Linked DNA regions of Macaca fascicularis. The protein of the gene in region 1 purifies or fractionates together with the protein of each later gene. This does not show direct contact. Links are inferred from orthologs where the notes say so. Each region holds a gene or a part of one and is shown in the gene's direction. Other genes may lie near its edges.

Region 1 (3,657 bases):
AGTTCCAGCTACTCAGGAGGCTAGGTGGGCTGATTGTTTGAACTTGAGAGATCAAGGCTGCAGTAAGCCATGATTGCACCACTGCACTCTAGTCTGGATGACAGAGTAAGACCCTGGCTCAAAAAAAGAAAAAAATAGTTTTAAAACATTGCTGTACAGCCACTTAATATTACACAGCCATTTAAAAAAAAGCCATTAAAGTGGTCAGGCCGAGCATGGTGGCTCATGCCTGTAATCCCAGTACTTTGAGGCAGGTGGATCACCTGAGGTCAGGAGTTCGAGACCAGCCTGGCCAACATGGCAAAACCCTCTCTCTACTAAAAATACAAAAATAAGCTGGGCATGGTGGTGGGCACCTGTAATCCCAGCTACTCAGGAGGCTGAGGCAGGAGAATCACTTGAACCCAGGAGGCGGAGGTTGCAGTGAGCTGATGTCGCACCACTGCACTCTAGTCTGGGTGACAGAGCAAGACTCTGTCTCAAAAAAAAAAAAAAAAAAAAAAAAAAAAAAAAGTCATGCTACATGCAATGAAGTGTCCTGGATTAGCTCCTGGAACAGATAAAGGATATGACTAGAGAAAGAGTGGTAAAATCTGTAGTTTAGATAATAGTAATGTACTGAGGTTAATATCTTGGTTTTGACAAATGTACTGTGGTATATGAAATGTTAGCATTTGGGGAAACTGGGCAAAGGGTATGCAGAAATTTTCTGGGATATCTTTGCAATTTTTCTGTAAATCTAAAATTGTTCCAAAGTAAAGTTTATTTTAAAGATTATGAAGTTTATGTAGTATAATGAAAAACTGCTTACAAACTAATGTGGAAAAAAGTAACCAGAACACAAAATTATAAAGATGCTACTTTATAGCTGTGTGAAACAGCAGCAAATACCATTGTCACTGTCAAGAAAAAGTCAAAAAACTTACCTTTCTACAGAAAAACAAAGGCTAGGGGAACTATACCAAAATGTATTAATATTTTGGTGGTGAGATTCCATGATCTTTTTCTCTTTCCCTAGTACTTTATGTTTTCCAAACATTCCTTTTGGGCTATGGATCACTTCTATAATGAAGAAAATATATCCTTATTTGTAAAATGTGACATCTGAAGGTTGGCTTTCTATTGCAGCCTTGTATTTTGTTCTTAAAACTTTCAGAAAAAGGGTTAGAAAAATCTCCAAAGAGAAATGTGGGGTATAACTGTCTTGCATGTGGGGTTACGGTGGAGGGGCTGGGCTGGCTCAGATGAGGAGTTATTACTTCAGGGTGTTCCATTCATCTTCAGAAAGCAGAAATCTCTCATCAGCTCAGCTGTTTGGGCAAAAAGCATATTAGGAGTCATATTGCTAAGTTCCCTTACCTTTCTAAGTCTGCTGCTTTAGCGTAAAAGGTCCTTTTAGCTCCAATTTGGGTGATTATTCTACTAAAAATGGCCCTTTTAGACCCTATGTTTTCCTGAGGGACTAGTATGTTGGATCTGCATTTGTTTGAGCCGTTTACTCTAAAGTTGACTCTAGGTGGGGCCTGTGAACACGTTAGTCCCTGACCTTCTTCAATTGCACCTTGACCTTGGTCATTTTCCCTGTATCCTTTGGATTGTGCCTGCTAGGGCCACTGGTGAACTTCAGCTTCACAGATTTTCAACAAACATCGCTTGTGTTTTTGAATAATAAGTATCTACCTTCAGAAGCTGGGTTACCTGGGTCTTTCTTAATCTTCCTCTCTATGAGGTGCCCAGTGTCTCACTTGCAACACTACCCTGCCTGTAGAAGGGAGTCAGGTGCATGGATCGTCCTCTGGACTTTAGGTGAATCCATATTTGTTTTCCTCCAATTGTAAAATAAGTGAGACCCACCTATTCTTCATCTCAGATTATTGTGGAGTTCTCTCTTTTTTTTTTTTTTAATCACAATTATGTACTGGTTCTAATGTTCTCTTTTGTGTGTTATTCCATCCCTTTATCTGTAGGAATGCCATTACACTGTGCTTGGAGATGCTTTTAAGGAATGCTTTGTGAGGAGACCACATCCCAAGCCAAAGAAGTTTTCAAATTTTGATAAAAGAGAAAAGATATTCTGTGCCCGACAGAACTGCAGCCATGACTGGGGAATCCATATGAAGTACAAGACATTTGAGATTCCAGTTATAAAAATTGAAAGTTTTGTGGTGGAGGATATTGCAACTGGAGTTCAGACACTGTACTCGAAATGGAAGGACTTTCATTTTGAGAAGATACCATTTGATCCAGCAGAAATGGCCAAATGATATCAGGGCCTCAATCTTCAGCTACAGGGAATGAGTAACTTTGAGTGGAGAAGAAACAAACATAGTGGGTATAATCATGGATCGCTTGTACGCCTGTGAAAATATTTTTTTAAAAATATCTTTAACAGTTTGTATTATATTATATATGCAAAGCACACATGAGTGAATCACAGCACTGAATATTTTGTAGGCCAACAGAGCTCTTAGTACTTGGGAAAAATTTAAAAGCCTCATTTCTAGCTTTCTTTTTAGAGTAACTGCCAACAAACACACAGTAATCACTCTGTACACACCGGGATAGATGAATGAATGGAATGTTGGGAATTTTTATCTCCTTTTTTCTCCTTAACCTACTGTACATTGGCTTTTGCCATTAACAATCTACTGAAATTGTTCTTTTGAAGGTTACCAGTGACTCTGGTTGCCAAATCCACTGGGCACTTCTTGACCTTCTATTTGACCTCTGCACATTTGGCCCTGTTGAGCACTCTTCTTGAAACTGTCCCTGGGCTCTTCTCTCTTCTAGTTCTAGTCTAGTCTTTTTTATTGAGTCCTCCTCTTTGCTGATCCCTTAAGGGTTGGTAATTCCAAGGGTTCAATATATATACATGTATATACTGTAAATATGTATATATAACTATTATACATACATACAGGTATGTATATGTAATGGTTATATGTACTCATGTTCCCTGTGTAGCAACATGTGGTACGGCTACACAGAGAACATGAGTACATAAAGCCATTTTTATGCTCACTACTAAAAGCTGTCCACTCTAGAGTTGCTGTATGTAGCAATGTGTGTCCACTCTACAGTGGACAGCTTTTAGTAGTGAGCATAAAAATGATAAAATATTTCTTGAAAACTTAGTTTACTATATATCTTACCCTATTAATATGTTCTCTTAATATGTGCCATTGTTCTCTTTGACGATTTTCCTTTAATGGTTGATGTTCAACACCTGGACTGAATGTCTGTTCTCAGATCCCTTGGATGTTACAGGTGAGGCAGTCTGACTGTCCTTTCTACTTGAAAGATTAGAATATGTATCCAAATGGCATTCATGTGTCACTTAGCAAGGTTTGCTCATGCTTCAAAGAGCTTAGTTTGCGGTTTTTCTAGACATGGAAGCAAGTGCCTGAGTTCCCTGGAGATCAACGGGATGAGGTGTTCCAGCCGCCTCCCTCTCCATGCAATCTAGTGAGCAATGGTGCAGGCAGGGAGCCAGAGAAACTTGCCAGTTATATAACTTCTCTTTGGCTTTTCTTCATCTATAAAACAAGGATAATACTGAACTGTAAGGGTTAGTGGAGAGTTTTTAATTAAAAGAATGTGTGAAATGTACATGACACAGTAGTTGCTTGATAATAATTACTAGTAGCAGTATTCTTA
Region 2 (2,564 bases), on another chromosome or scaffold:
TGACTGGACCCATTTGTCTTCAAAAGAAGTGGACCCGTCCACAGGTGAACTCCAGTCCCTACAGATGCCAGAATCCGAAGGGCCAAGCTCTCTGGACCCCTCCCAGGAGGGACCCACAGGGCTGAAGGAAGCTGCCTTGTACCCGCATCTCCCACCAGGCAAGTGAACCAAGAGTTCTGTGTTCAGTCCTACCTTTCCCTTCAGAGCATCCTGCCCCCCGATTCCAGCGACACAAACAGGATGGGACGTTCTCCACTGCAGGGCTTGTCTGTAGGTGTGGGAGGTTAGGAGTTGGTTTTGTCCTCTTACGTCTACCCTGAGCAGCAGTGAGTAAGCTCTGCTAATGCAGGAGTTCTAAAAATGTTTTTCTTTAAGCAAACTCCAGAGCCAGGAATATTAATTGTAGGAGTTTCTAAAACTTAACATGCAGACCAGGAATTAAGGTAGGTGTGACACAGAGAGGGGGCAGCACTGGGTGTGTCCCTACTACTCACACTGGGCTCAGACCTCTTCAGTGTCTCCTCAGGGAGTGCTGGTCTGAGTGGGGGTCATAGCCAAGATCCCTGGAAGAGCCAGGCAGAAGCCACCGTTGAAGTGGATGGTGTGGAAGGCAGCGGTGGGGGGTGGGGACAGCTGACAGAGACTCCTCATTGTCACTGCAGCCGTGTGTGTGTAAACCAAGGTCTGTGCACAACCTGCTGTGCGCTGCCAGTGTGTCTTCTCTGCCTTAGGGCAGGGGATGGCGAGCTATGGCCTATGGGCCAAGAGTAGTTCTTGTATTTTTCAATCAAAAGATGTGACAGTTAGAGGAAATGCGTATTTCAGTGTCCAGCGATAGTTTTGTTTACATACCACCTGGCTGCCTTGTGTCACAGTGGCAGAGTTGAACAGTGTGAAAAAGACTGGTTGGCCCTTTACAGGGAAAGCAGGTCCACTGTGGCCTGTGAGGGCCAGAGCTCTGGGCACTCGGACACTGGCAGGCCTTGGTCCCGCTGGCCAAGGCAGGAGGGTGTGTGTTTCGGGTCACTCACAGGGCTCAGCATCACTCCTCATGGCTTCCTTACTGTTTTGGCAGAGGCTGACCCGCGGCTGATTGAGTCCCTCTCCCAGATGCTGTCCATGGGCTTCTCTGACGAAGGCGGCTGGCTCACCAGGCTCCTGCAGACCAAGAATTACGACATCGGGGCGGCTCTGGACACCATCCAGTATTCAAAGCACTCCCCGCCATTGTGACCGCTTTTACCCACCTCTTCTGTGTCCCCCTCTTCTGTCTCGTAGCTGTTAAGCTAGTGTAGAATTGCAGGTCTCTGTACGGGCCAGTTTCTCTGCCGCCTTCCAGGATCAGGGGATCAGGGGTTAGGGTGGAAGAAGCCATTTAGGGCAGCAAAACAAGTGACATGAGGGGAGGGTCCCCGTGTGTGTGATGTCTGAGAAGCAAGACTGGTCTCCTGGGTGCTCTGGTTCCCTGCAGCAGGGCTGGGCCTGCGAGACCTGAGGCTCACCGCAGTGCTCCTGGCCCCTCCCTGCAGGGGCCACATTAGCAGCCCAGACATAGCTTGCCTAATGGCCTTCCACTTTCTCTTTTTAAATGACTCGGAGGTCCCTGACATTTAGTTGATTTTCTGCTAGAGACCTGGTACGCTCTGATTTTAGATAAAGGATGCCTAGGTGTTGTTGGCGGGTAAGCAGGGGAGGCGGCTGTCCTGGCACAGGCAGTGGGGAGGCCGGGGCAGCCAGTGTGGTGGGCTTCCTGCTGGGACTGAGAAGGCTCATGCAGGGCATCCGTAATGTTGGTTTCGCTGAGAGCTGCCTCCTGGTCTCTCCACCACTGTAGTTCTCTCATTGCCAAACCATCAGCTGCTTTTAAAATAAGATCTCTTTGTAGCCATCCTGTTACGTTTGTAAACGATCTAATTAAATGGCATCAGCACTTTAACCAATGACATTTGCATAGAGAGAAATGATCTGTTTGACAGTAAGTTTATTGGTGGTTCTTATACAGTATCTTTAAAAGTGCCTTAGGGAACCCTGTCCCTCCTAACAAGTGTATCTCGATTAATAATAACCTGCCAGTCACAGATCATCATCAAAGTCTTCACCAGTTGTAAAGAGGTCACACAGTCGTGGGAGTTGGGGATTCTGTGGCTCCTGGACCAGGGGCCCACCCTCTGCCCAGGGAGTCCTTGCGTCCCATGAGGTCTTCCCGCAGGGCCTCTCAGGCCCGGATGTGGTGGGGTGTGTGGCCCGAGGAAGCTGGACAGCGTCAGTGGGCCTGCTGAGGCCTTCCCTTGAGGCCTGTGCTCTGGGGGTCCCGGGGGTCCCCTGCTTAGCCTGTGCTGGAGCAGCTGGCCCAGGATCCCTCTGAAGAGGCGTTGGCTGCTCTCTGTCCACATGTGAACTGTTTCTAGGTGACAGGACAAATCGCGCCCATTTAGAGGAGGTGGCGGTGACCTGCTGGGCAGGACTCCATAGCTCCTTCCCAGGACCCCTCGGCTCCCTGGCGCCGCAGTCGGCAGCGTTCTCCCGGAGGCAGGGGCTGCTGCCTTGCTTCACCTTCCATGTCA

Evidence for each region. The genes of interacting proteins can lie anywhere in the genome.
Region 2: the proteins of RIGI (region 1) and SQSTM1 purify together in Homo sapiens (affinity purification with western blotting; 5 studies listed by BioGRID). This does not show direct contact. The link is inferred for Macaca fascicularis from reciprocal best matches to the Homo sapiens genes RIGI and SQSTM1.

The regions. Positions count from the first base shown.
Region 1 is NC_088389.1:66,632,881-66,636,537, forward strand, and holds part of RIGI (antiviral innate immune response receptor RIG-I), read left to right. Parts: intron 1-1,967; coding exon 1,968-2,264; 3' UTR 2,265-3,657.
Region 2 is NC_088380.1:186,728,115-186,730,678, forward strand, and holds the end of SQSTM1 (sequestosome-1), read left to right. Parts: coding exon 1-158; intron 159-1,075; coding exon 1,076-1,233; 3' UTR 1,234-1,940; downstream 1,941-2,564. Other genes in the region: MRNIP (MRN complex-interacting protein), read right to left, coding at 2,074-2,564. UniProt on the Homo sapiens protein: Molecular adapter required for selective macroautophagy (aggrephagy) by acting as a bridge between polyubiquitinated proteins and autophagosomes.